Mytilus edulis: one gene and its partner. The protein of the gene in region 1 purifies or fractionates together with the protein of each later gene. This does not show direct contact. Links are inferred from orthologs where the notes say so. Each region holds a gene or a part of one and is shown in the gene's direction. Other genes may lie near its edges. The genes, in order: chromodomain-helicase-DNA-binding protein 1-like and aprataxin and PNK-like factor.

The links.
Region 2: the proteins of chromodomain-helicase-DNA-binding protein 1-like (region 1) and aprataxin and PNK-like factor purify together in Homo sapiens (affinity purification with mass spectrometry; 4 studies listed by BioGRID and IntAct, counting the BioPlex papers as one, with this or other methods). This does not show direct contact. The link is inferred for Mytilus edulis from reciprocal best matches to the Homo sapiens genes CHD1L and APLF.

Annotation. Positions count from the first base shown.
Region 1 is NC_092350.1:3,585,205-3,601,640, forward strand, and holds the start of chromodomain-helicase-DNA-binding protein 1-like, read left to right. Parts: upstream 1-7,670; 5' UTR 7,671-7,763; coding exon 7,764-7,848; intron 7,849-10,762; coding exon 10,763-10,878; intron 10,879-11,152; coding exon 11,153-11,259; intron 11,260-12,244; coding exon 12,245-12,362; intron 12,363-12,787; coding exon 12,788-12,901; intron 12,902-13,505; coding exon 13,506-13,659; intron 13,660-14,366; coding exon 14,367-14,525; intron 14,526-15,126; coding exon 15,127-15,231; intron 15,232-15,984; coding exon 15,985-16,155; intron 16,156-16,436. Other genes in the region: uncharacterized protein MAL13P1.304-like, read left to right, coding at 1-2,606. UniProt on the Homo sapiens protein: ATP-dependent chromatin remodeler that mediates chromatin-remodeling following DNA damage.
Region 2 is NC_092346.1:42,450,709-42,466,769, forward strand, and holds the start of aprataxin and PNK-like factor, read left to right. Parts: upstream 1-8,082; 5' UTR 8,083-8,347; coding exon 8,348-8,443; intron 8,444-16,011; coding exon 16,012-16,061. Other genes in the region: testis-expressed protein 30-like, read left to right, coding at 2,855-3,089, 3,671-3,719, 4,250-4,662. UniProt on the Homo sapiens protein: Histone chaperone involved in single-strand and double-strand DNA break repair.

The DNA of each region.
Region 1 (16,436 bases):
ACCAAAGCTATGTCTTGAATTTAAAGAAATCTCTAAAGAAGAAACTTGATTGCACAAATAGAAATGAAATCACGTACAACTTTACAAAAGGAGGTATAACTATACAGCTTGACCCCATTTCATTCGAACTATTTATACATGCCTGTGATCAATATTACAAAAACCCAGTTACTAAATTGGATAGTTTCAATAAAACAACAATGAAAGACAGAATTGGTAACGAAACTCAACACATATTTCGTGTGTTTGATAGTCCATCGTTAGGATATACCATTAATGCATATTTAACCAAATGTAGCCTACTTATCAATGGTGGCAATACCAAAATGCTATTAGAAAGAGATTTACAACAGTTACAACATATTATGGATAATACAAAAATTAATAACTCCTGTATTGACATTCATATATTAAATAAAAAACTTGCTCATACACTCAAACAAGCTCTACAAACTTGGCCAGTACCAAATCATGTGACTGATGATAGAGAAACTCCAAGCAATGTGAGTACCACTGTAGGTACAGAAGAGAAATGCTATGTATGTAAGCGCAACTGCAAAACAAGAGCAGTTCAATGTATTAATGGGCACTGGGTTCATTACAGATGTGAAAGACTATCAGAGGAGGATATCTCAAAACTGGAAAAGGGGGATTATCCATATTCCTGCCGTTCATGTAACAAGGAAAATGAGGTACACACTTTAGAATGCAATGCATCACCCCAAACAGTCCAAAAACTTGATATCCAAAATACAGATCTAAGTACCATATCTAAACATCTACATATAAGGAATAATGTTCTGGCCATAGAACAACATGTTCTTGAAGACAATGTGATCTCTAATGACCATATCTCTATTGCTGAATCTCTCCTCCGTGAAGAAACAGGCAAAAATTGCCCTTCTTGTAACTTCATTCTCGATGATGAGTGTACATGTATGATATGTAATGATGCATTCCATAGTAAATGTATTGACAAAAACACAGAAACCTGTTATGGATGTATAGGTGCCAATCATCAACTTTCATTAAATATCTCGAAAGAAAAACCTGAAAAGAGCCATGACAATACCACAGAGACCCTCACTAATGTAGATGACAAAAGTAAAGAACATCTCTATAACAACCCTACCAATGTTAAATCCTCTATATCCTCATCAAAAGCAAATAAGAATAACCAAACAGCTAATGAGCCTGACAGCAACAAACAGGAGACTGTCATTCCCAAAGAGATAAGGCAGATAGAACAAAAACTAAAGAAAAAGGAAGAGCAATTGAAAATAAAAGAGGCAATTTTAAATGAAAATGCAACAGAAAAGACCACTCTTCTAGATAGAATACTAAAGGCTGAAAGTAAGAATATTGAATTGGAACATACAATTAGAACATTAAATCAAGCTATTGATAGTAAAATTAAGATGAAAGAGGAAAACAGCAGTGATGACATTGTGGTAGGAATAAGAGACAGGGTAACAAAATATGTTTTGACAAAAGTGGATCAAGAACTGTCGCAACTTCTGGGCATGGACAAAAATAAGAAGCTTACCTCTTCAGCAGCTGATTATAATCCATTGGGTAACGGACCAAATATACAACAATCATATGGCAATCACCATTTATCTCACGATCGTTCCTCAGGTGATAACAGATATAATTCCCAGAATCACAGGCCTTATATGAATCAAACATATCACCATATTGATGACTCAACACAAGATACTCATGGTCGTCAGGGGAGCGATGGTGGGCTTTACCACAACGTCTCTTCTGTTCGTCCTACGAGTAATTTTTCTTATAATTCTCATTATCAGGATTTAGGAACACAATTACACCAACCATACTATCAAAATGACTATTATAATCAATATATGTATAGACATCAGGGAAGCGATGATGGGCCTTACCACAACGTCTCTCCTGATCATCCCACAAGGAATTATAATTATAGTTCTCATTATCAAGACTTTGGAACAAACCAACCATACCACCGTAATGACTATATTAATCAAAGTGTATATAGACATCAGGGAAGCGATGGTGGGCCTTACCACAACGTCTTTCCTGATTGTCCTACAAGTGACAAATGTCATAGCTCCCAAGATGAACAAATTTATACATATCAACCACATACTTATGATCAGTATTCAACTCCACAGGAACCAAGAAACTGTGCAGGTCCATCGAATCAAAATGCTTATAGACATCAGGGGAGCGATGGTGGGTCCAACCACAACGTCTCTCCTGATTGTTCTATGAGTAACAGTCATAATAGACAGAATGATGTGCAACATGGTTACCATCAGACCAACTATTCAATGTATGCATCAAGAAAATGCGCAGTTCTCTCAAATCTTATTGAGATTATTCCAGCACAAGACCCAAATAATCACCTTTGCTACCCCTCTTCCAATCAAAGTGCTGATATAAGAAACAAATGTGTCTCTGAGAAAAGAATCAAACCTGTGTATAATGATGACGTATATCAATACCTAGAACAGTATCATGACGATCGGCAAGGACAACCCTTATTTTATACACAAAAAGAGCAGCAGCAACATTTTTTAGTACAGAAAAGCCTCATTCCAGAGAGGCACAAAATTGTATAACTGTCTGCTTAAAAGAAAAGCAAGTTAATGCTTCATCTGATGAATGTTCAACTGTAAATAAACACAGCAATGTAAATAATATGCACCATGTTTTAGATTTTAATACAAAATCTGCAATTGATAACAGTAATAATTGTGAGTCTACAAAAGAGAAGGATATATTGAGTGTTTTAGATTTTAACTGTAAAAATATATTAACTACTGTGCCTCTTATACATGAGATTGAGAATAAGATTGATATAATGCTTATACAGGAACATTGGCTTTTTGATTGTCAAATACATCTTTTACAAGAACTGCATAAAAACTTCAATGGAACTGGTAAAGCGGTCGATATGAATGATCCCATTCCACCAAGTCATATGCCTCGAGGTTACGGAGGAGTGGCTATCCTTTGGAAACGTGAATTAGACGATATAATTACTCCAATGCAGCTAGGGAATGAAAGAATACAATGTGTGGAAATTAGAGGTAATCCCAATACTATATTAATATCTGTCTACCTGCCATGTAGGAGCTCTAATAACCATTTTACTGAACTCAATGAATGTCTGGACCACCTTCATGAAATTTTCGAAACCTTTAAAAACTCTCATCAAATTATAATAGGTGGAGATCTCAATGAAAACATATACAGTTCAACAAATTCTCAACGAAAAACAGCCATATCCAATTTTATGTCAGAACATAAACTTTCAACAGTTGAATGTGGAATTACTTTCATACACCCAAGTGGTCAAGCCATGTCCGCAATAGACTACATTCTATTTCAAGATCACTATAAGGAAAATGTTATCAAGATTGAAAAACAAGAAATAAATAGCAACGTCTCTGACCATACTCCACTGATGTTGTCATTGAAATGTGACATATCCTTTAAGAAGATGAAAGAACTTACTAATACAAAAAACCTCAAAGTTAATTGGAATAAGGTGGACAAGAATGAATATAAAACTTTGATTGATGATAAATTAGAGAAAATCAAACCTATCTCAGAAAAATTGAATTTAGATCAAGCATTTGATGAACTAAACAAAATTCTATCAGATACAACTTCAAAAATTGCTCCAAGAAAACAAAAGGGTAAGAAAAAGAAGAAACTTCCAGTGATGAATGACGAAATCTTACACGCTGTGAAAAGAAAGAAAACTGCCTTCTATATTTGGAAACAACAAGGTCGACCAAAAGAACCTGGTAACTTCTATCTTAAGGAAAAAACAATCACCACATATGATCTCAGGACACTATGTAGAAAAGAGCAAGCACTAGAAAGGATTAATACTAGACAACAAATCTTGGATGCTAAATCCAGTGATACAACATTATTTTATAAGCTAATTAGAAAACAGAGGGGGAAAATGGGTAGATTTATTGAAGAACTTATAGTTGAAAATGAAACATATCAAACATCTGACAGTGTATTGGAAGGATGGACAAAACATTTCGGAGATCTTGCCAAAAAATCTAACTATCAAAACTTTGATCAGAATCATTTAGAAGCAGTTGAGGTTGAAACAGAAATAATATTAAAAATATGTAAGGAAAATTATTTACATGAAAAAGTCTCAATCCAAGAACTGAAAAATGCTGTAAAAAAATTAAATACAAATAAAGCTATGGACTTTTATGGAATCACTGCTGAAAATTTCATTTATGCCAGCGAAACACTTTTAGAGTATCTTCAACTTTTAATTAACACAAGTTTTGAACACTGCTACATACCAAATTTACTAAAAATTGGAACCCTTTTTCCTGTTTTCAAAAACAAAGGTGACATTAAGAATGCTAAAAATTACCGTGGGATCACTATAACGCCAACTTACTCAAAGATAATAGAGATTATAATTAAAGGAAGGGAAAATAATAAGATTTTGGAACATCAAAACCCTTTACAAAAAGGTTTTACGGCAAAATCCACTCCATTGCTTTGTGAATTGTTCATTGAGGAATTTGAAAGAGAAAATAAAGATCTCAAGTTACCAACCTATGTTGCATTACTGGATGGAAAATCTGCTTTTGATGTTGTAGTTCATAAAAACCTGATACGACGTCTTTTCCAAATTGGATTCTCACAGCAATCTATTTTACTGATCAGCAATTTATATGAAAATGCAACATCCTGTGTAAAATGGGGTAATACAATGTCAAATCGATTGTTTAATATTGAACAAGGTGTAAGACAGGGTGGAGCCATTAGCGCTGACCTCTACAAAGTTTATATCAACCCCCTACTACAAATTCTCAGCAACTCTGGACTGGGAGCCAAAATAGGAAATATAAACTGTTGTGCGCCAACTTGTGCTGACGATATTGCCTTGATATCTAACAATCCGTTTGAACTCCAAAATATGATAAATTTAGCAGTTGATTTCAGCCAAAGAGAGGGATATCTACTACAGCCTCAAAAAAGCGTAGTCTTGCCAATCAAAACATGTAATAAAATGCTAGATGTTGAACAAGGTTTTTGGAAACTTAAAAATATAGATATGCCCATTGTCCAAGACTCCTCTCATATTGGAATAAAAAAATCTCAAAAAGATTCTACTAATGCAACCATCACTGAAAATATAAAAAAGGCCAGAAGATCTATGTACAGTCTTATGGGTGCTGGATTACATGGGGAAAATGGATTAGACCCGGAAACAATAGTCTCCTTATTTAGAACGTATATCTTGCCAGTTTTGACCTACGGCCTAGAAGTCTTGATACCAACAGGCAAAAATTTAGATCTTATACAACAGCAACATAAAAGATGGATTAAACAGATTTTATCTCTCAAACTAAATGTGGCTGACCCGGCTGTCTATATGTTATCAGGTTTGCTCCCACTTGAAGCAGAGATCCATATTAAAATTATTACACTATTTGGGAATATAACCAGATCTGAAAGATCGTCCTTAGAATGGAGAATAGCTGAACGACAACTTCAAATTAAAACCTACTCAAGCAATAGCTGGTTTATTGATCTAAAAAAGATATGTGGCAAATATGACATCATAGAGATAGAACAGTATCTTGATAAGCCATTAACAAAAATTGAATGGAAGAGATTTATAACCAAAAAGATTCACAAGTACTGGGAGGATGACATAAAGACCAAAATGAAGGGGTACTCAACTCTAAAATATCTTAATTGTGAATATGACATTGGCAGAATTCATCCTTTACTTAAAACAACAAGTGCAAATATAACGGAGATCAAGAAACTGTCAATCTGCACTAAATTTATTACGGGTACCTACATACTACAATCTAATAAAGCGGAGTATTCAAACTATGCAACAAATCCGATGTGTAGACTCTGTAATAAAGCTGACGAAACCATTGAACATTTTATCTTATTGTGTGAAACAATTTCACAAATAAGGTCATCCCTTATCGTCAAAATTCTACACGAAGGTAGTCTGGTCTTAGCAAGAGAGAGCCTGCAAACTCCTATTGATTTAATAACATTAATCATTAATCCTTATCATTACCTACCAAAGAAGATGTGCAAGGATGTTGAAGATAGAGTTGGTAATCACTTGGTACCGCTATGTCGCCAACTGTTATATACACTTCATTCCAAGCGATATGATGTGTTGACAAAAGCTGATACAAAAGCAAACAGAAAATGAAGAACTGTGAACTCATTTTAGCTGTAATATATACATGTTGGGGTACACATGGATCTCCCTCTTTTAGAAGTTTTAAAGTCTATTAAATTTTTTACGGATTGCACTTATAAACTTTCCTTTTTTTCTTTTTTTTTCCTTTTAACAGTGTTAAAAAATAAACTTTTTTTTAATATATAATTGTACTTATTGTCTCTATTGTAACTTATTTTTAACTTATTTTAAAATTAGTTTTTACCATTTTAATTGCATTTGAAATATTTTTAACACTGTCGTGGCGTAAACATGTATGTTAAATAAGATAACCTTGTGTATGACTATTGTGAACTGTGAATTTACCTGTGTACATATATTGGTGGAGGAATTTCATTGACGGAACTACTTTCCTCTTTACGGAGGTGTGCCTTGATTGGCAGAAATTCGTTTACAGATTACAGATTACAGATTACAGAATACAAGGTGTGAATTACAACCGGCACACGTTCATGTAATTAAAACATTTCAATCGACGAACTCTTTAAATTACATATGGTTTATGGGGAAGCAATACTAATACTTTCATTTTATAAATAAAGCAGTTTACGACCAGCTTTACTATAGAATAAGAATAAAATATATATTAATGTAGTTTAAGCAAGTTGTATTAGTTTGAATAATTTCAACGGACAATCTTCCTTTTTTCCCCCTTTAGCTTCAGGATTCATCAATAACAATGTAGTTTCTTTTCAAATATGTTCCTGTATAAATATAAAGTCATTCGTTCTCTTCAATAGACTTTTGTCTAAAATAGAAACAAATAGGAAAACAATGTTTTGCGAGTTTAAATACAACTACCCCTATAATCCATTCATGTCTTTTATTTCACCGACAAGGTCCGAAATTTGTAACTAAATAATTATATTTTCGATAAGATTCTTTATAATTTCAATGATATATTATACCTTTCCTATAACAAAATTCATATTTCAAGGAGAATGATTGAAATCAGTTAAAGATATTGAATAAATCTGACCGCAGTCTTTTCAAGCAAATTTATGTTACTTAAATTTCCGTTCAGTTCCGAGTTTTCACACCCAAATGGTATTTTTCATATTTTTTTTTAATTTTATCATTATATTGAACTTTTTGTGTCACAAAATCAAAAGTTGAAAGATATCCATTGAATATTAAAAAAGTTATTGTAGTTAGAATTAGTCCGACATAGATTTTCAGGTCCCTTCAGGTCTTTTCATTTCTCCGTTCAGGTCCAACTTTTGGCATCAAAAACTTGTTTTTTATTTAATTTTTTTAAATTTTAATGAAATATAAATATTTACAATAAATAAAATTCCAACTTGAAGAAATTCCATTCAATAATAAAAAAGTTATTGCAATTTGAATAATTTTAGTCGTATATTTTCAGGTCTTTTCAGGTCTTTTCAGGTCCACTTTCAGGTCTTTAGTGTAACCCGAGTTTTCTCCCTTTTGTTTATATTAGTACCCTGGAAAATGCAAGCTCAACAAAATATTCTGAACTCTTAAGAAATATTTAAACGAAATCCAGATGGATATAAGCGACAGCGAGGATGAAAATGTCACAGAGAAATATATTAAATCTAATAAAGATTTGAATGCGATAGGATGGGCAGGTAAGAAAACAAGACGTTTCGGCCTAGTCTGGTGACAGATCGTCTTTTGTTGATTCAGACTAGGTCGTTTCGGCCGTGTATCACTTTTTAATTCAGGTCAAATAGTTCTTGCTTTTACTAATCGACTTATTGAAGTCATAATTTGTCTTAAATGAAAGGGAGACAAATCTTGAAACCTACAAATTTAGACCTCTATGAGTTAAAAGCAAATTTAGACTTAAATTAGAATAAAATAATCGACCACTTTTGAGTTTGTCCGTTACCTGAAAAAAAATCATCAATTATGCGCACCTTTATGACGTCATTTACCAGATAGATGGGATCACCTGTATCCCTGCACCATATACGTACATCAAGCGTCTGGGTGATCGTCATTGTGCAGGATAAACTAGAAAAAATATTTGATCTGTAGGTACTTAATCACAATTCCCTAATGACAGCAGTGCTGAATAACTATTATGAGAACTTAATTTGCCGAATAATTTGTGCAATATACATGATATAGCTTTATAGTTTTCCAACCACTCGCTTAACATTGGAACGGGAGTGGCAACACCCCTAAACGCACGAATGATATTCACTAACACCAAAGTTTTTGACTGAAATGCATCGAACTTGAAAGTTGTTTATTTATGTCTGAAACTCTTGACTGTACAGCAATAAGCAAAATCAAGCTATAAACAGCTCTAACATGATGAATATAAAACAATCAAATGAGAATCTACATGTATATATGAGATTTATTTACCAAAAAATAAAGAATTTACTAAACATGCTAAAACCAAGTCCAAATACAATAGCTGCTAAAATCATGTATCAAAGACTCAAATATCAACCATTACATATGGACCATAATTTGCTATTGGGCTCGTTTCCTATAACTATAGAAAAGTGATAAAATTGTGAATTACTGTAAGAAAAGTTGTAACTACATCTAAAGATGCCATTATTTTTATCAACATACAAGTGTATGCTACTCTTCCCTAGAAAAAAAATTGAAATATACAAATTTCAAAGATTCTTTAACCGTATTTTTGTGTCGTTTCTCACGTTACTTTTTGCTTCCGAAGAGCATAACGCTGACTGATTTATAGATAATTGTCACCGGCAAATTCGTAACTTTTGCTTTCAAATAACAAAGAACATCGACCAATAAGAATAGTCAGAAGAAAATGCTGAGAACTATAAGTATTTATGTAGCAGATGTAAGAACAGTGGGATGACTTTTGTGTCCGATTTCGTAACGCAAATTTTAGATGATGTAATCTGCTTTGTTGTAATAGAATTCTTAAAAACAATATGCAAATATGAACTCTCGCGAGATGTTCAAACAGGTAAATCAGAGATGATTTACATTCTTGTTTTGATCTTGATAATAATTAGGTAAGAAAATGACGTTATCGTTATGCGTTACATTTCACACGAAACAGAAGTCCAGTTATTTATTAAAATTGTTTTTGTCCTTAAGTTCTAATCATTTCCGGTCATATGTGAAACATGTGACTAACATGTGATCACGCCATTACAGCCGGACATACGATATACTACCGGTAGTTCTAAACATTGTTTTTGTTTCCAACGGGATGTTAGCAAACATAATCTGTAGACTTGTTTTGACTTGTTAAAAAAAGGAAAATATAATTTTCAAAGAGATTGCGCCAGGGGTCTATTATTTTTCCTATGTGCATAATGTTACATACGATCTTGTGTGAAAATAAATGCCCAATGACTTGACAAAATCGATTTCAGATTTGACCGACGTTTAAACACACTACGTTTCCCAATAACGATGTAAAGGGTCCTTGGTAAATTCAATCGAAATTACGTCTCTTATCATGGTGCCGATGTTCGTTGGATTGATTTTGCTTCAGCAGTAAATATTACTGGATATTTTAGGTGAATAAAGATAATTAAATGAAAAATGCATGTTAATATACAATGTACCGTTACACTTGGAATGTACAAAGTTGGTAACTTTGTCACAATTTTTAATTAATTTTTTTATTCATGTTCTGCAAACACTTTTCAGAAACGCAATAAACTTGTCAAAGGAAAAGTAAACTTTTACCGGGCATGACTTGAAAGGAAGTACTTTATTGATTTTAGCCCACTAAAGTAGGTTAAAATGTGGAAACCATGTAGATGGTGTACAGGTCACAAATATCACATGGTGCCTATTTTAAAGATTTTAATTCCAAGTTAAAAGTTTTTTTCTTTACTGGATTTAAAGAATTTTACATTGCCAATGATTTGGAATAAATTTTATATAACTGGAATTTCAAAACCAAATATAAATATATTTTTTTGGCCAAAACATCAAGATACAACGATTATGGTATCCTGTATCAATGAAGAAAATATGGAAAATTCTGAATAAATTGTACTAATTGTTTTCAAAACAAGCACATATTTAGGAGTTTTATAATGTTACATTTAAGATGGATTTTAAGAAAAAGTATACTGTTCAGATTATTTTAAGCAGATTTTGCAATAAAATAAAACTAAAAAAATGCTTTTGGTTTCTTGTGGTTTCCTGTCACGTTTAAAAAAAACTTTAATATAACATTGAAAATAGATTTTAAATATTAACATGAAGCAAGTAACACTAGTAATGGTGTTTATTTATGCCTTTTGAATTATATTGTGCAAAATAAAGAAAATAAAGATTGGTTTCCTGTTTGGTTTCCTGTCACGTAAACGGTGAATCAAAATGTATTAATTTTTTCTCGAAAAACTCAATTGTTCCATTCATACTATTCTAACACCAACACAACCCACAAAATAAAAGTTAAAATTTTAGAACTTATAAGAAAGGATACAAAAAGAAACCAAAGGCCGAATACCAAATTATGGTCCATATTCAATGGATTAAGTGTATAGACGAAATAAACTATGTACAAATATTAATTTGCAGATGGTATTCCTCTGAGAATTTACCAGTTATCCGGAGTGAACTGGTTGATTGACTGTTACAAGAAGGAGCATGGAGCCATCCTAGGTGATGAAATGGGTCTTGGTAAAACTTGTCAGGTATTGCAAACACATAAGATCTGATGAATTTATTTATGGTAATTTTAACTAAATCTATTTTAGATGCAAGCCAGTTAATTATAGTAATTACAAAATATTTAAGAGTTAAATTGATATACAATAATGGCATATGCTGGTAATTTTAGAAGCTACAATTTAAAGCTCTACGGGACGAACATTAAATTCTAGGGTTGTGGGTCATGCATACATGTATCACGTTTATTGAGTATTTTACTAAACATGGTGTACTATTCACAGATTTCTTTTCTTTTAGACCATAGCCTTTATTCTGTATAATCAGAGGTCAAAGAAGAAAGCTCAACCAAGTCTAGTTGTATGTCCACGATCTGTGTTAGAAAACTGGGATGCAGAAATTAAGAGGTAAATTAAAAATTGAAAAATTCAGACAATAAGTTAGAGTAGATATTCATATGACAGAAACCAATGATAGAAGTAGTTGTCAAGTGGTGACCTGTTATCCCCCTAAAATCCATCCATTCATATGATTATAAAATGGCTGTTAGATGGTCCTTATGTATTGTTCACATTTTGATATTTGTTGTTCATGGTGTTGTCCACATGGTTAATATAGATAGGACTTTGTTCAATTACAGTAGACATACTATAAAGTTGCTTAAATTGATTTGAAACTCTCCTTTTGTTTTGCATTCAATGCTTTTGAATGGTGACATATTGTTGGAATCCCCCTTTTAAAAACAGCTATATCTGCTCCTGTTTGTCTGAACATCACTTCCGAAATTGAACTGTTGATTGATTATTATTTTCAGACATAAAAAACTATGAATAAATATTTATTATTTACATGATTTAAGGGTATATATAAGTGTTACGAATTAACTGCAATACAGAGACACTAATTACTTATGTTGTTAACATAACATATTGTAACATCACATGTTTCTTACGTCTTTATATGCATTACGTATTTAGTCAGATGAGTAAACAATCAAACTATATACACGTCTTTATATAATTTACACAACAAGAAAAGTAATACCTCTAATCCCAAACAATAAGCAACTGTTTGTCAGAATATCAGTACTGAATCGGAAAAGTTTGATTAATATTTTAAGGCAAAAAAAATCTATAAATACTATTTAAAAAATTGAAAACAACACATTTAATAATTTCCTGCATCCGAAGAGCTTTTCTGGATTTACCTTCATCAGGTACGCTCAAAACTAAACATTTGAAATCCAAAGATGTATAAGTACCAAAACTGTTGAAGAGCTATATGTCAAAAAGACCTTTAGAAAATAAATAGCCAAATTCATCTGTAGCCAACTTTGCCTGAGGGAGTTAAGGGTAATTAAAAGCACCTCAATTGTTCTATTTAAATTTGTAGGTTTGCACCGACTTTGAAGGTTTTATGTTATACAGGAGACAAAGAAAAGAGGAACGAGTTAGCTCAGAATATGAAGAATAAATCCCATAATATCAATATACTGGTCACAACATATGAGGTATTATATGACTGTTTAATGTCTTCATATGGCTTGCATTTAATAGATCATACAACATTTATGGCAACTGAAAACAGAGTTTGGATACATGTACAAATTATGTCTGGTCATTATCAAAACAAAAATGCACAGGGCATAGGGGAACACATAAAAGCCCGAAGAGTTGTCTCCCTCTATTGTTAGGCTAGCTTAGACACTGCCATACATTGGCTTACCTTCTGCAAAAATGTAAACCGAGTCAAAAATAAAGAAATTTAAGATATAACATACAGAAGCTATAGGAAGTTTTATGTCCCCATTTTTCTATACATTACACATGTACAAATTGATTTAATGAAAAACATAAAATTGTAAATTATCCAACAACAAAATGCATTTAACATGTTTAAACAGACTCTTTGACATTTTATTTATACATTTTACAGTTATGCCTGAAAGACAGTGGATTTTTATCGTCTATTCCATGGTTGTGTTTAGTAGTGGATGAAGCTCATAGACTAAAGAACAATGAATCACAACTTCATCTGACACTGAAAGAGGTTTGTTAATGGGTAAAACTCATTTTAGGTAGGCACAAAGGATAGCCTTGTTTATGAATTCCTCTGCCCATATCTTAAACTTGCATATCTTGGCTTGTTTGTTGCAAAGCTGAGACATTTCCAAAAAAAAATAGCTGAGTTGATATGTATTATCTAAATACAAATAATGAAAAGTAAGATTGAGAATGGAAATGGGGAATGTGTCAAAGAGACAACAACCCGACCAAATAAAAAACAACAGCAGAGGGTCACCAACAGGTCTTCAATGTAGCGAGAAATTCCCGCACCCGGAGGCGTCCTTCGGCTGGCTTTCAGAGGTTTCCCTCCTTTTTGTACTAAAACATGCTCTTTAACACTTGTGTTGTGCAGGGTGTAAATTTGTGGAAATACAAATACTAAAAAGAAATAAAGCTAAATTAATGCCTTTGGAAATGTAAATGTTTAATTTTCTATCAAAAAGAGAGAGAAAAAAAAAACAAGATGCAATTATTTCACATAAAACCATTATAATGAAATAAAATGTCATGTATTTTAAGACACATTTTAATACTTGTTGGGTTTATAAATTACATGTATATTACCTTAGACCATTATGTATTTACAGTGGGACATACCACACAGTGTGCTGTTAACAGGTACACCTGTGCAGAACAACCTCCAGGAATTGTATTCACTACTCAGTTTTATAGCACCAAGAAAATTTAGAAAATCAGGTCAAGAAAAATTTGTCGATAAATTCAGTGACATGGATAAGAATGGTAAGTTGGATGGTACTGAACTTTAAAAATAAAAAATGTTATACAGACACCTGTCTAATCTGAACGATAAGTAAACAGAAACCTGTCTAAACAAAATTTCTTTGAAATCAAAACCTTCATTGTAATGAAACCCTATAAAACTTAAAAATCACAAAAACAGATATCTGCCTTTAATGAACACGATCAACAAATCACTGGATTGTTTATAGAGAAAATGGTGTCTGATTCATTGATCATCAACTTGTATACCAATACTTTTCTATTCTTTGCATTATGGCCATGAATGAATGTTTGTCATATTTTTCTAAGGAATTAGAAATAATAGTGTCCCAATTTTTTTTCTGAAATTTGTTTCAAGGCTTCTGTCAACCTGCTATACTGTGAGACATGGTTTCAGATTCATTTCTCATCAACTACCTCTTTATATTGTTACATACACATACTGGCAATACTTGTTATATTCTGTAAATATTTCTAAGGTACTACACACAAATGCTTCTGACATTTGTTTTCAGGCTTCATGTAAATATGTTAACCATGGAATGTGTTTTCTGATTCTTTTTTCTTCAACTTGAATTTTGCTGAAAACCTAATGCAGGAGTATCAGCAGTAAGCAATAGCTCACAGTTCCATTTGTTATGATAAAAGTATAGGGTCACGATAACTTTGTGGAAAACAATATTTTTTTATATCATTTATACCTACAGGTATGAAGGAACTTCACAGTTTGTTAAAACCTTACCTGTTAAGGAGAACAAAAGATGAAGTATTAAAGGATCTCCCTAAAAAGTCAGAGATTGTCATGTTTCATGGGATATCGAAATTACAGAAAAAATTATACAAGGCAATACTTACCAAAGATATCAGTAAGTCTTTTATTGTCCTTTAGCAAATGTCCTTATATTGTGTGGTAAGGATGTATTCTTCTGATATTTCAGTTTCATTGAAATCTGGTTTGGGAATTATTTCCAAAACATGTAAAATAAATGCCAAATATCAATGGATTTAAATAATACTATTATCAAACTAAACTCTGAGTAAAAAATTGTATACTTAAAATAATCAATTTTTGAGTAATAAAATTTTCAAACTTTATAACCAATTACGTCAGTGTCATCAGTGATGTTGAGAAATTTAGGTGAGGGGCATCAAAAAATATGCATATACCATATTATTTTTTTCTTTTCAGGATTTTTAGATATGTATTTTTTTACTCATCTATAACAAAGAACTTGAAATAATATGCTTTTAGTTCTAAAATAAAGTGAAAAATTGCAAATTTACAAAGACTTTAAACATAGAGAAATCAATATATTCCATTACCAGCTGTTATTGATTAGATGCAATATGCTAACTCATAAAGTTGTTAGGGAATATAATGTCATCTTTTAACAGAAGAAGTACAGAAAAACAGAAAAGTTATTTAAACCATAAGTCGTTAATAAGAAGTTTTATCTTTCTCTATAGGTGCGTTTGAAACAGTAAATTACCGTGGAGAAATGAGTTCACCAAGTTTGATGAACATTTTAATGCAGCTAAGAAAATGTGTCAATCATCCTTATCTATTTGATGGTAAGTTTTAATAGATATGAATAAAAGGTGATATGGGGCATAAATTCAACGAGACAGCAATCCAACTATACAATTAACAAAAGGACATCTAGTTTTCAAAGTAGCTTCTTTTTAAATGAAAGAAAGAACTTCTACTATAATAAAAAAACACATCATTTATATTTCAATACTTAAAAAGGGTAAAACCTATTTTTATGATTTTAAACTTTTTTTCATGTCCTAATCTTAAAAAAGAAGATGTGGTGTGATTGCCAATGAGACAACTCTCCACAAGAGACCAAATAAGCATTCAATTTTTTCTGCAGTATTTATTATTACCCTTTCTTAAACCAAGCATTTAGAATGCTCTATATAATTTTATTTTCAAACTTTAAAGTTTTTTGTTCATGTGTGTTCAAAATCCTTGAAAATTATATTATACCAATATATTGAAATCTATTTTTAAAAAGCCAAGAGATGATAAAATGGGAAAAATAGAAAACCAATGGTCTAATTTATATAAGATGGCAACCAACTACAACCACTGAATTTTAGGACAGGCAAACAAAGACGGTTGCTAGGTTCAATATGTTTTTCTATACTTGAATCTGTAGAAACTTTTAATAATATGTCAATCTAAATTACAATTAGACCAGGTTTATACTCAAATAACTTTCCAATCCTTTAATATAAGGTTGGGAGAAAATATTTTCCACTTCATTGAATTTTCTATCAAAGTGTGAAGTGTACAAATGTCTTTTATTCTCTCTTTAGGAGTTGAACCAGAACCTTTTATGATAGGAGACCATTTAATTGATGTGAGTGGTAAACTAGCGCTGATGGATAAAATGTTGTCTTATCTGAAGTCAGCGGGACATAAAGTGTTACTGTTCTCACAGATGACCCACATGCTGGACATTCTACAAGATTATCTTGGTTATAGAGGTCAGTATATACAAGGACCATATGAAAATATTTCAAGGTCAACGCCAAGTATATAGATGTAATGAAGTTGAAGACTAATATCATTTACTCCTTTGTTGTTGATGGTAAACGCCTAGAATATAGTTGAATGATGTTGAAGACAAATATCATTTACTCCTTTGTTGTCTTTCAATAAATAGCTAAAAGAACTTTTAAAAAAAAAAACGAAAAAACTATGTCCTAATTTGCAAATTTTTGTTGCTACGTTTGTGTGTCCTGAATTAAAATAAAAACCAGTTGTT
Region 2 (16,061 bases), on another chromosome or scaffold:
AATCTGCTTTTGACTTATAGATGTCTAAATTTGTAAGTTTTAGGATTTGTCTCCCTTTAATGCAAGACAAGATACGACTTAAATAAGTCAAATATTGTTAAGCAAGAAATGATTGACCAGAATCAAAAAGTTGCAAATATCAACTCCTACAAGTCGATAAGTTACCAAAATTGGTCAACTTCAAGACCCACGCATACTTATAAAAAGGTCATGCATCTAAATCAAATAATGACAACATTGAAAGCCAATGCCTTGTCTTCTAAAGAAAAATATGAATGAGAGTCTGAAAAATCGGGGATCATGTTAATTAACCTTACAATGCAACCACCTGGATCTACACTTAATGAGGTAAAACATCTGTGTTTAGTAAGGATGTTCAATTAGATAATTAAATATAGATAGATCAAGTCCTTGTGAACTCTCAGACAGGTTTTTACTGTCAAAGGTGGTGTAGTTTGGCCACCAAGTCAAGTTAAGTTTTTTCATCAACATAAATAGACCTAAACAAGTCTGTCATTTTGTGACTTAGATAAGTCGAAAATTGAAAACACATTTTTATAAAGAATACATGTTTTGACTTCTTTAAGTCATAAACAGAAATAGACTTGTTTATGTCTGAGCTCTGACTGATATATGCAGTAATAATAAATACATCAGACTTTTTACATTTATTTCAACAATTGATTTACTATAACTTCAAGAAATCTTATAAACTTTACAAGATATCTTATTTATGATATTTTATAACATTAGATTTAAACTATATAATTTCTTGTCCTCGGATTTTTGGACTCCAAAAGTTGGGGCGAGCAAGCCATTTGAAAATTTTAATAAAAAAATATTTAATATACAAATTTTTGAGGTGTAAACATTAAATAGTAGGTTTTGACAATATCAAAACTTGCTTTATCACTTGTATTTTGACATTTCTTTAATTAATGAAGTATTTTTTTCCCTGTTCACAATGAGATAATTGAATAATTAAATCTGGTCTATGTTATATAATGTGTGACTAACAATGAGCCAATTCTCCATCCATGTCATAATATGATTGGGAACAACCCCTTAATGTTATAAATATCCCTTTAATGAGGGGTCAATATCAATTATAATATTATAGTAAAAAACTATATATATCTATTCTATCTGGTATCAAATGTTTAAAACATGTGATGTCCAAGAATTTTGTAATATTCCTTGACTTTAACCATGTTAACACATTTACTGTACCAGTTTAATATTATTCAAAATAAGTGGACCCCTCTTTTAGAAAGTTGTTTAAAATATGATTTATTTCTCCTCTTTTTGAATTAAAAATTCTAAGTTTTCCAAGATTTTGTATTGTAGCACTATACAAATCCTTGATATTTCTATTTTCTTTTCTACATCAGTAAAATGACCCCTTGTCTGAGGGAGGGTTGTTCCCAACCTGATAATAACAAACAGAGGCCAAAATACGGCCTTTTACACAGGGTTTTGATCAAGACCAAACAGCAAGCTATAAGGGACCCAAAAATTATTAGTGTACACAACTCGAACAGGAAATCCAACGATCTAATTTATATATCATAGTGGGAAAATACCAATGAACCAAACATCAAACCATAACTGCTGAACGAAAGGCCCCTTAATCAATCAGGGCAGGTGCATAAACATGCAGCAACTATGGATAGTTTTGTTTCGCCAGCATGCAATATAATTGCAGTTGAAGGCAAATCCTTCAGAAGTTCTTTGTTCTTTATTCTAACAACGAACATTTTTTGATAGGGAATATAAGTAAGGGGGAAAGGAACCAATGTTTTGTTCTGTACAGGTATTTCCGCTGTTAAATATTTATATCGGAGCACTCCCTCTTGGAATAAATTGGTTTCATGCTAAAACAAATAATGTCACAGATATTTACACAGTGTGTTGGGGTGCTTATAGGTTTAAAATCATTATATACACTCAAGGTTAGACTGCAATTTTAAAATCAAATGTTGATATCTTTTAAAATATTTACAAAAAAACAGTGTAGGAAATAGACATGATTACATTTCCGGATGCGGGAAGCAGGAAAATAAAAAAAATAACAAAAATTCTGTTTTGAAAAAAATAGGTGCGGGCGGGTCTGTCGAACAAGGAATTAAATTGGTGTGGCCTAAGATAAATTGTGATACTTATATATTATATAAGACATCTTATATAAAATAAAAGTGTTATGAACTGGCTGTTTCTGTATTGGCACTTGTATAGATTCTCGGGCAGCTCTCTCGAGGCCAATACAGCAAACCTTTAATCTATACCAGTGCCAAAACAGAAACATTATGAGTTAATAACACTATATTATAACTATATATATATATAATTTTCTTTAAAGATTATTTCATTAACTACATGTATGTGAGATATCTTACAAACTTTAAGAGATATCTTATAAAGTATTTAAGATATCTCATAACCTTTATGAGATATCTTAAATTTACCTAAGATTGTTAGGGATTGTTTGCTGTCATCTATAATCTGCAACATTCCTTAAATTGCTGACTGGATTTCTGTTAAAGTTTGAATCTTTAGTTTATAAATGCCATTGTGGTCTCCCTAGTATTGACCCTAATTTCTGTTTTGTCAATAAATGTCATCTATGTAGTAGTAGAGGTATGAATATGTCAGCTCTAATATGTTTTTCCATGTGTATTTCTATAGTGCTCAAATGATTGCACATAACAACTGAATTTCAAGTTAATGTATTTGCTTTTCAGCAGTAAATATCCAATTCCTCCTCCAAGTTGAAATGCACTATATCAGACCACCAGCAGAGAAAACTGCTGGGCAGAATCCATTTTTATTTACGTAAATTATGCCCATATTACAGGTGTATTACGATAGAATTGGGAAAGAAGAAGTATGAAGCCTGCCTAACTTATTATAATGATCCTGCTAAGATTGGCTATGGAATTATACTTACACATGGTGCAGGAGGGCACATGAACCATAAACAGCTAGTTGGTATTGCAGAGAAGTTGGCTAAAGCTGGATATTTAGTCTTACGTTTTACCTGTAAAGGATTGAACCTTGCTTACAGGACTAAAGTGTTTACAGGAATAGTGGTAAAGACAACTTTTTTTCTGAATTATAATTTGACATTCAAAAGTTTGTATTTTCTGATGAATTTCAAAGTTGAAATTTCTCTTTTCCAATGAGATTTCTGCATAAAGAACGTATTTTATTCAGATTTCAAAAAATAATATGGATTGAAAGTTTTTATTTTTCAAAATTGACGTATATGTTTGAACTGTGAACAGATACTGGTAAATGGGCAGAGAGTTACAATTTATTTATTTAGTCTAGTATCAAAGATAATCAGTATTTAATTTATCTTCTGAAAATCATGCAAGAGATATGTTTCTTGGCATCATGAATTACGCAAGTCAATTAAGCCACTTTGACAACTTTGTTTTGCAAGTTATTCAATAATTAAAAAAGTTTTTGCTTAAAATATTTTCAAACAGTTAAGTTAAAGAAACAGACAAAAATGGTTTTAAAAAATTGAAGCCTTTGTTAATTTAAAGGAAAAGTTATTTCAAAACTGAATGGTGACTTGTTCTGTATTTTCATGGGAGATAACTCATAACTTGTGTTTCAAAGAAGGAAAAGGTTTTGTCAACTACATGAAATTTGTATATTTCAGGACTATGTAAAGGAGAATTATCCTCATCTGAAGGGATGTTTTATTGGAGGTAAGTTTCACAGATATAAAGTATCACATTCATTGTACTGTTAGGAAAAAAATGTTGTTTTAATAGCTTAGTAGTGCTATTTAGAATAATTATACAGAAGCAAAATGAAATACATATAATTAAAAAGATGTGGTATGATTGACAATGAGACTACTCACCACCAAATTCTAGAATTATTTTTTTGCTTTGAAATGCAATCTTACAACTAATTTAGCAAAACTAAGTATAATTCCTAAAAGAGTCATTATTTTTTCAGTAAACCAAAAGTTTTAATTTTGTCTTCAGGTCATTACTTGTATAAGGTATACACTAAACAATTCCCATATGATATATTTTCATTTCTTGTGCCATACTCAGAATGAACAGGTCAACAAAAACGTGCTGTTTAATTTATTTATCTTTTATCACGTTCTTATATAATAAACCATGTGTATCCATGTCATCTATATAGTACATTTACATATTGTGATAAGCTTAAGATAAACAAAAAGGGCATAGTCATTATAATTGTATACATTAATTGGTTTTAGGACGTTCCATGGGATCAAGGGCAGCTGTTGGTGTTTGTTGTGATTCAAAGATGACCGATTTTTTACAAGGTGTCATATGTTTATCATATCCTTTACATAAACCGAATGACTTCAAACAGTTACGAGATGGTCCACTTAATGATGTCACAAAGCCAGTCCTTTTCGTTAGTGGGACAGATGATAATATGTGTGATCAGGAGTTGTTTTTACCTGTCCTTGATCACATGACCAAAAGTCAGGTGCACTGGATTGAAGGAGGAAATCATGGACTTGAGATTAAGGGAAAACCCATTGAAGATATAGTTCTAGAAATAGATCATGTTATCAGAATTTTTATTTTGGAATGTCTTACAGATAAACTTAAGAGAACTAAAGTACAGAAGGCTGTGAAAAAGAAAATAAAAACTCAATGAAATCTTTATATTGTGTTTTCAATATTTGCTTTCTATGAAACTAATGATGTTGAATAAAATAAGGTGTTTGGTATAGGTCAATGAGACAGCACTCCAGAATACAAATATAATTGAAAAGATATCAAGGGGTCAACACACATTCTAAAAACATTGTGAATAAATGAAACAAACTATCAAATATTTGCAATCAACAATAAATTCTCTAAATAAAAAAAATAAAAAAAACAACAGTAGGATTTGACACAAGCAAATGAATATGGTTTATTTTTATGCCCCACCTACCATAGAAGAGGGGCATTATGTTTTCTGGTCTGTGCCTCTGTTTGTCCGTCCCGTCCGTCCATCCATTCGTTTGTTCGTCCGTGCATCCGTTCGCTTCAGGTTAAAGTTTTTGGTCAAAGTAGTTTTTGAAAAAGTTGAAGTCAAATCAACTTGAAACTTAGTACACATGTGTCCCATGATATGATCTTTCTAATTTTAATGTCAAATTATAGTTTTGACCCCAATTTCATGGTCCACTGAACATAGAAAATGATAGTGGGAAGTTCAGGTTAAAGTTTTTGGTCGAGGTAGTTTTTGATGAAGTTAAAGTTACATCAACTTGAAACTTAGTAAACATGTTCCCTATTTTGCTCAAAATAGAACATAGGGGTTAATTACAAGTTTTGTCTGTTATTTTGAAAACCAATATGAATAGAGAAGATCTGATGAGTCAAAAATGTTGAGAATTTTGAAATACTACAGTGTACCATTTTGCTGATTATTTTGAAAACTATAATAGATACTAGTAGAATGATTTTTATGCCCCACCTACGATAGTAGAGGGGCATTATGTTTTCTGGTCTGTGCGTCCGTTCGTTCGTCCGTCCGTCTGTCTGTCCCGCTTCAGGTTAAAGTTTTTGGTCAAGGTAGTTTTTGATGAAATTGAAGTCCAATCGACTTCAAACTTAGTACACATGTTCCCTATGATATGATCTTTCTAATTTTAATGCCAAATTAGAGTTTTTACCCAAATTTCACGGTCCACTGAACATGGAAAATGATAGTGCGAGTGGGGCATTCGTGTACTGAGGACACATTCTTGTTTAAAAATAATCATCAAGACAAGATCTACAAATATGTAAACGTGCTTAAAATGTCCGACCCCTCCTTTTTAAATGAATTGATCTTTAATTATGGTTTAAAACAATTTTTAGAATTTTTTCCTGTTAACTTAAAAACTGCTACAGATCAATAAGCTCAATTAGCAAAATTGATTTATAAATAAGCATTCATAGCTGAAATCTTAAGTCGACTCATGATTAGAGTTATTGCCCTTTCAAGATGATTTTACCATTTTTCTGCGTTTTTGCCTTTTATCTTGATTTTAATAGTCTAAGAGACAAATGAAGATAAAAACTTTTAAAAGAATCAATGATCAGCAGGACAAGATCTACAAATACATCAACATGACTAAAGTGGTCATGACATTAAAATTGAATGACATAAAAAAAAAAAGCAGCCCATGCATGAAGCCACTACTGCATATCAGAAAATGCTTGTATGATATACAATACAATACAATATTTTTTTTTTTAACTTTTTCCAAATTAAAGGGCCCATAAAGAACATAAAATTAATATCAACATGACAAACATTTCAGAGTGATTAAAGAAACATAAAATAATAGTTCAAATACCTTAAAGGAGATTTCATACAGCAACATCACATTTAAAACACTACAAAGAAGACATGTGCATTTTTAAGAATAGACAAAAAAAAAAGAAATATTAACCATTCAACCTGGCTTATACAAGTTATCAAAACACCAATTTGGTTTTTGATGAGCCTGCAACTATTGTTGCAGAAAGCTTGACATAGGGAAAGTGATCCAGTGGCAGCAGTGTCAGCGTTAACTTACTTCTTTTAAGCTTTATATTTTAGAAGGTTGAAGTTTTGGATGTTTCATATTTTGTATATAGATGCCTTATGTTAAGAAGTTTCTGTCTGCCATACGTCCATTATCCTCGTTTTCATTTTTCAGTGACTACTTGACAAATGTTAAGATTTTTTGTAATGTTAATTTCTCTCTAATTATGGGTAATAGGATAACTTTATTTGGTATATGTCTGTACTTTAAATTGCTTGTCAGACATTTTTCACTTGACCTTGACCTCATTTCATGGATCTGTGAACAAAGTTAAGTTTTTGAGGTCAAGTTCATATATGAGATACTATAAGCAATAGATCAACTATATTTTAGTATATGGAATGATTGTAAGGTGTACATGTCCAACTAGTAGGTGTCATCTGACCTTGACCTCATTTTCATGGATCTGTGAACAAGGTTAAGTTTTCGTGGTCAAGTCCATATAATTATCAGATACTATAAGCAATAGATCAACTATATTTTAGTATATGGAATGATTGTAAGGTGTACATGTCCAACTAGTAGGTGTCATCTGACCTTGACCTCATTTTCATGGTTTAATATTAAAGTTAAGTTTTTGAGTTTTGATCTTTTTTTTTAATACTTTATGTAATAGGTCTGTTAAACCTAATTTATTTAACCAGTCTTTTACAATATTAACCCATTTACTTAATTTCTCTACATTTTTATATATTTTTATGGACTAAAGTGTTAGGTGAGTTCACAATGTGGTTTATGAATTTTATAAAAGCGGAATTTTAAAGTACTAAAAGGTTCTGTTTGTATCAGCTTAACAGGCTTCATTTGTTGAGGGGGGTAGGAACTTTATCAGGACTCCGGGATCGGGTGTTTTTAAGCTTGGGATTTCGGGATCCGGGAATTATTTTTTTCTAATTTTGGGATGTCGGGATATAATTTTTTTTAATTCGGGACCTCAGAATTTCTTGTTTTTAAGCCCTGGATTTCGGGATCAGGACCTCCTACCCTCCCTCTTTGTTGTTTTGCACTGTACACCTAAAATTTCTTTAATAAATTTTAAAATATGTAAATGTTCAAATGGATCTAAATCGTTGAACACTTGGCTTACACCTTAAACTTCACTTCCATAAAGAGTTATTGAAACAACTAAAGTATCAAATAATTTTTCAAGCATATCTAAAGAGACTATTTTTTCAATTTTAAATCAAGCCCTTTTCCATGACTAGTATTTTGAATAACTTCCTGAACAATTTATAGTTATTCCAATATTTGTTGTAATTAAACTGAAACCCAAATAGAATCTGAAAAAAAGATAATATAAATTATTTTATACAAAAAAAAATCTTTTTTCTTCTGATGTATTATTTTGAAAAATGCCAAATAAAAATCGGGGAGACTCCCCGATTTGTCCCCCAATGGCCTCTATGACAGTGAACTAAAGATATATACATCATTAATTGCTGCATTTGAATTACAGTTGTATGTCAGTTCTTGTTTAGTTTTTGGTTGTAAGACATATCATAATCAAAGCTCTCTTGGGTAGGAGTTACATTTACTACACGCTAGAAGACAGGTTACCCACGCTGATTAAAAACTTACAATTATTATACTGTGCAAACTGACACCAATGCAATTAATTCATTACTTTGTTTGTTCTGCATTAGTTTAATGCATCCGTATTTTTGCAAATTCAACCTTGACAGGAAGTGAAGAAACAGCTACACGATCATTTGCAGCGCAGAAAAGTCGTCAAGCAACGTTTTACTTTCACCCTCTGGCTCCAAAAATTATGCCACTATGTCTATAATTACCCTTGTATCTTTGGATGACGGCGAGACTATAGATCTCCCTGAAGAAAAAACTATAAAAATTGGACGTGGCTCTTTCTTGAAGGTAATACAAGTCTGAAAGTGATTCTATATTTGCAGTTTGAGCTAAATAATATATAATCGGTTAACAAATTATCTCCCTTTGCATATTTAAGAAAAAATATAGTTTAAGTTTCTCAATTATTAGACATGTTAGATGAAAGTGCAATGTTTAAGGTTCATCATAAGGAATTGAAAAATATGGCCGTGTTTACACCTCCAAAATTACTATGAGTACAGACAAACTGGTACATCCAGGAAAGTTTTAAGGCATGGCAGGAACTAGATATATAAAAGTTATATGAAGTCTACGTTTCAGAAAATTATAAACTTACCTGGATTTTGATTTTCATTTTTTTCCAGTCTGCAGAAGATAACAAAATAAACAAACACCTGAGTTTCATTTGATACGGTCCACTCAGTTAAACAGTTTAAACCTGTTAAATCACCTATTGTTTACAGGTGTCTATTGTCCATCCATTGTCCATTTAAATCAATACTACTCACAACATTGATTATATGAGGGGAGCTTCTCAATCGTTTTCACTACTTAGTTAATTTTTGCACCTTCTGCAGGAACGAAAAAAAATGGGTAGCAAAATCTAGAAAAGTTTATAATTTTCTGAAACATAAAATGCATTTAAAATTTATATATCTAGTTCCTGCCATCCCTTAAAACTGTTGCAGGTGTATAGGTTAGTCTGTACTCAGAGTAAAATTTGGGGTGTAAATACGGCCATTTTAGCCAAAAGGTTATGATGAACCTTAACTTAGCAGACAAAACTAAAAACAAAAAAGCCGTTTAATTGTGATAAAATACTATAAAGAAATCATCATTTAATATTAAAAAAAGAAGATGTGGTATGATTGCAAATGAGACAACTTGACCTCCACAAGCAGGGGTTCAAATTAGTGGTGGTCCGAGGTCTGTGACCTTCCACTATTGCAATCAGACTTTTGATTTGGTTACAAGCTACGCCCGACGGACCTTCAATTGGAAAGAAAATAAAAATGTGACAGAGTTGTCAAGCCACAACTGGAGATTTGGAAATTTTCAGCTGGAGTTTTGGTCTCATAACTGGAGATTTTTTATCGACGTACGCAATGGGTTTTTTTGTGTGTTTAAACTGCATATTTTTTTTGGGGGGGGGGGGGTTAAAAGAACAATAATTCCATACCTTTAAACACCTGCATATCCATTTTTACTTGATCAAAATCTTAGCTGGCTACCATGTTATATATATCTAATTGAACACCTTTTTAACACTTTTTATTCTGGATTACAAAAAAAATGACCAGAAAAACCTTAAGTGATCGTCGAATCATCCAAAAGTTTTGAAGTTACACAGAGGAAGTAGTGCTCATTAGGAATCCTTGTGTAGTTAATTATGACCTGTGCTTTTGGCTAAGATGTCAAAAAACAATTGTATGAAATATTTAATCGCCAAAAATCTCTTAAGACAAGTAGTTTAGATGTCCCAAATGGCAAAAGTCGCAGGAATATTGCTCGTCATCAATACATAGTACAACTACGTCAGTATCTATTATATAATAAGTTCAACTGTTCATGCTGTTGGCAGCAATTTCAAATTAGAAGACAATTTTTTTGTATCTTTTCAATTTGGAGACAGGGGTGCAAATTAGCGGTGGTTTGAGGTCCGCGCACTTCCACTTTTGCACGCAGAGATTTGACTTGGTTTCTAGCTATGCCAGACGGAGTAACCTTCCACTTGAAAGAAAATAAGAAATAACTTTGCAAACCTTTTCACCAAAGTCTCCAAATAAACGATCTAAAAACTTATTTTCATCATTATAATTTATGACAGCGATGTTCATTTTGTTCAACCGCTAGCTTTATACAGAAAATCGCCGACAAATAATGTGTAAATTCGAGTAAAATCTTATCTGATTGACAAAAACAATATTGTAAACACCAAAATAATGGCTGCTGTGAAGACAAAATTTTACCATATCGGATCTGATTCCGGAAGCGGATAAGGGCAATTCTGGGTTTTGGCGATCAATTATAAAAAAATCCAGGCAGGTGACGAAATACATCTATGCATGGTAAATGAATATAAACACTAGACTGCTAGAATTGAAAACCAAATGATATGTTTAAAGAAAGAAAAAGAAGAAAATATTTTATACAGACACTCAAAATTACTTTTTGACAAATTTTAATGTCAAAATCCAATACAATGTGACAGCTGGGAACAGTATATATCTATTAACAATATATATGTTCATGGTCACAGTATAAATTTTCTTCATCAGTGATAAATGATGATAATGCATGTGAGATGCTTTTAAAGTGTAAACATATTACTTCAATTTTGAAGGGTTATTTTTTTCTCAATTTTGAAGGGTCAATTAAAGAAGCTTGAAGTTTCTTACTTTATTTAACTATATTATATAATACCTGAATGTAAGCAAATCATATGATATATAGGTGGCGTCCTTTAGGCCACTCTACCAAGGGGTGGGGGTTCCAACTATATGTACCCATTCAGATGCATTGATCGGCACAAAAAAGGGGGATTCCAACCCCCAGCCTCCCCCTGGATCTGCCAATGCTACCCCCTCCTGTTTGATAACTTGGAAATAGTCGAGATTCCCACCCCTAAACCATAAATTCAAGTATAGGACAATATGATAAATCAAATAAAATATAGGGGGAGTCCCTGGAGTCACCCACCACTTCTGTTTGAGAACTTGGAAACGGTCGAGATCTCCACCCCTTAACCATATATATTCATGTTTGTGACAATATGAAAAATCAAATGAAATATAGGGAGAGTCGCTGGGGGTCACCCCACCCCTCCTGTTTTTGAATTTAAAAACGGTCTAGATCCCAACCCCTAAACCATATATATTCATGTATGGGACTATATAAAAAATCAGATGAAATATAGGGGGAGTCCCTTGGGTCACCCCAACGCCTCCTGTTTGAGAATTTAAAAACCGTTGAGATACCCACCCCTTAACCATATATGTTCATGTATGGGAAATATAACAATTCAAATGAAATATAGGGGTCACGTACCCTACCCCCTCCTGTTTGAGAACCTGGAAACTGATGAGATCCCTACCCCTAAACCATATATATTCATGCATGGGACAAAATAACAAATCATTCACATTTACTATGTGCAGGTCAGACTTCAAACTTCACCTTTGATCCAGGTAGTACATGTAGTAGTGAACATTTGTCTGATTCCTGTCTCATAACTTTTGTACAATAGAACACAAACTCAGTTTTCTTTCCTGGGAAACCAGTCCATTCATACTATTACATTTAACATGTTCGTACTAAGTCAACTTCGTCGTGTGAATATTATAATGTTTTATGTCCCCTTTTTCTAAAACTGAGAAAATGGCATTTAAAGTTGGACAGTCTGATATCCAGTCATATAAAACAAGAGCTATGCAAAAAGTATGCGTAATACTAGTTCCAACACATCTGATTAAATTGTCCTTTTCAGAAATCTGATCAAGTATATATTATTTCGGCAATTTCATATTTCAAGTTTGGAGATAGTACATTTTAATCTTGTGATAAGTAAAGTTGAAAGAATTAAAATGGTATTGGACATAAAACATTATAATATTATTACTGGGCAATGTATATGCCATTAAAATTGAATAAAATCGGCAGTAGAAACAAAGGCCATACACAATCTTGTTGGTTAAAATAGTGTCTTATGTTTTCTTTGAACTATATAGCTATGCCTGCAAGGCAAACTGGACGTATAGTTCTTCTGTCTATGCGTCTGTCCTTGCAAGGTTAAGGTACACGTTGACTTTGTCTTTCTTAATAGAATTTCAATGTTAAAAAACCAGGTTAAGTTTCAGGTTTAAGTTTTTGATATAAGAGTTATGATATCACCAAGCAGCTTTGTACATAGATAGCTTATGATGTGGACTGTTTGATGCAAAGTTGATGCTTGGGTCGTAATAAGTCAAGACTTATGGACTTTGTCTTTTGTAATAAAAAGTCAATGCTAAAGACCCAAAGTTAGGGTACGGCCAGATCAAGTTAATTGATAGATTCTCATCCACCTAAATTGAAAATATTGGGTTGAGTTGGACTCTTATATTTTATTTTTACGTATTTTTATTACAGATTCCAAAGAACTTTGTAAAAATACATAAAAAACCTAATTGGTTGGAACGGATGGGGATAAGAATGTAAAAATTAATTTGATATGATCTTAAGGTTAAGTCTGTAATGGGTCTGTGTCTGAACAAACTGTTAGTCATTTTAAATACAGATCATTGGCGGGCATGTAGTGTCATTGGACATTCTTTTTCTAAAAGGACAGTAATAAAATGACACATAATAATTAGACAATGACTTTATGAATATAAAACTAAAGAATTACAAAAATGGCACCTTTACTCCTTATAGGATGCTGATTTATAAACAAATCATAATTAGCACATCATCATAACAGTTGGACATTAAGTTCATGACATGATATGAAAGGGATCTGTATATGTTTCAGCTAAACAAAATGTATATTTTTTGCTATTATTCATTAAAAAGCTGTCACTTGGACCATTTGAAAATTTCTATATTTTGTCAATAATATTAATAATAATTAATAATAATAATATACAGACTATATTTATGTATGAAAGTGCCATAAAGTCCTATTAAATTATAATGCCCTCATTTCATACTATCTCCATTGGTAAACTTTTGTCATGTGACCCAGAATCCGTCAATTTCATTGGTTTGTACTTAGATCACTATAATTCTGAATACAACATTGTATTTGGAGATATATCATTTTAATACTACTGTTTTAGGCAAATTTGAAGATAATTAAGCCTGGTTAAATATATAGGGAGATAAAACATTGCAGCACGAAACTATTGACACCCATAACTCATTTCCACTGTAAAATGGACTTATAACATTATAATATTCACACGACGACTTGTACTACTAGTAGTCAACTAAAACCAACATTAACTACCAAGTAGAATAACTGCAATCATTGTGAACTTGTACCACTGCAGACTCACCATAAAAACTTGATATACATTGATAGATGCATTGCTTTTGAAACCTTGATAACATATAAATTATTTGCCTTATAATTAATTCATTAGATAAACATAAATATACTATATATGAATGTTTAATGTTGAAGCAACATTGCCATAGTTTTCATAAATACGTTTGCCTTGGTTTTTGGTTAACTGCCCTCAGTGCTTACAGCGCTTTGATTTTTTTAATTTTAGACAAGTATTTTGCAAATTCAGATAATAGACATTTGTAATAAAGCACAAAATGTCAAAAACAAGTATGAATGTTTCAAGTTAAACAATAATATATGAATACTATTTCGAAAGACAGATAATAATGGATCACAGCTTATAATGCTAAAAAGACATGTTTTTCAAAAACGATATCAAAATGAACAATGCCAAACCAACTTAAATTTCACAGATATTTATTAATTTTATAAAATTAAAAGAGTTAAACATTATTTTAGAACGATAAAAGTGACACGCACATGTATATCAGCATCAGCAAATAAAACAATTATACTATGCATGTTAAAAGCTGGTGTTTGGTATAAACAGTCAGAGCTCAGACATAAATAAGTCTGATTCTGCTTTTGACTCATAGAGGTCTAAATTTGTAAGTTTTAGGATTTGTCTCCCTTTAATGTAAGACAAAATACGACTTGAATAAGTCCAATATTGTTAAACAAGAAATAATTGACCAGAATCAAAAAGTTGCAAATATCGACTCCTACAAGTCGATGAGTGATCAAAATTGGTTAACTTCAAGACCCACGCATATTTATAAGGAGGTCATGCATCTAAATCAAATAATGACAACATTGAAAGCCAATACTTTGTCTTCTATAGAAAAATATGAATGAGAGTCTAAAAAATCGGAGATAATGTTAATTAACCTTACAATGCAACCACCTGGAATCACACTTAATGAGGTAAAACATCTGTGTTTAGTAAGGATGTCCACTTAGATAATTAAATATAGATAGCTCAAGTCCTTGTGAACTCTCATACAGGTTTTTGCTGTCATAGGTGGTGTAGTTTGGCCACAAAGTAACATTAAGTTTTTTCACCAACATAAATAGACCTAAACAAGTCTGTCATTTTCTGACTTAGATAAGTCTAAAATTGAAACTACATTTTTATAATAAATACATGTTTTGACTTATTTAAGTCAAAAACAAAAATCGACTTGTTTATGTCTGAGCTCTAACTGATAAAACAAATATTATTGAAATATTATTTTTACGGCATATTCCACAAGGCCAGAATATCATATTTGCTAAATCAGTGAGGTTAACTTTTCTTAGTGACAGGCATGTTAAAACCCTTCCACGATCTTTAAATGTCAACAAGTATTTAATAATATACAAAACTTTGAAGAGTTCACCATGCAGTTGCGAATATTAGACCTCGGGCACTGATTTTTTTTTAATAACGAAATATACGTTTTGATTGAGGACAATATCCTTCATGATTCTTCTTTTTCCTCTTGTTCATATTTATGGCTTACTTATATACAATTTTGAAATCTAAAATGTAACAACACTATCTATACACTTTTGACAAAACAAGCAATGATTTATATTTTTTTTTTATTCAGGAAAACACTTATTGTATTATTAAATTTTTTTTTTTTTTTTCTCTCTGGCGCTCCTGGGTGCTTTTTAGTAGGACCAGATGGACAAAAATATAAGTGGTAGATTATGTACACAGAAACATATATTAAACAAGAGATTGAAATTTCCTTTAAAAGAATGTCAAAGGGAGATCATTTTGTCTAATCTTGTCACAAATCCCAAGGCAAGACATAGATATGATGTTTCCAGTGTCGTCAACAATGTTTTGTGATTAGGTTAGTTTATAGGGAATTGCTAGTTGTAGATCAATGATATTTGGTATGCATATGTATTAGCATTGGCACATCTCATTTCCATGGAAATGTTTTGCCCTGTAACTTCAGTCATGGTTCATTGACTGAATAATTTGCTTCACTTTTCATGTTAGAAGTATTGCTATTTTAATTTTAACACTTAAAGAATGTTGGCATGGTTGTAGTGGGGGAGCAATTTTACATCTCCCATGCAGCTACTTTCTATGTTTGAAATCTTACAACACTCATTGTTTGAAGAAACATTTCTTCAAACTTTTCAAGGCTTCACCGAAAGAGAAGGATCAGTGATGTTTTAGTATATATCTTATGTATAAAATTGCTCCCCTACTACAACCCATGCCAACATTCTTTTAGTGCCTGTCCCAATTTAAGAGTTTAATGGTCATGGTGGTTGTAATTAATGGGTCCATGTCTATCATATTTGGTTTTTTTCAGAAATTGCTTTGTTAAGCTTTAGATTTCTCAATAGAATAGTTTCATATTTTGCGGGCATGTCTTGCCATTTTGATGGTAACATGCAAATGTTGAAATTACCCTACTTGATTAATGCAGTGACACTAGTCCAGATCTAGCATTGGTCTTCTTATAAATTTTTTTTTTTGCAACTGTAATGAACACTTTATGTAGCGTGTACCAGTTTAATAATATTTTGTCTTTTGCAGGTATCTGATAAAAGAGTATCCAGAAATCATGGAATTTTAGATGTAGAAGA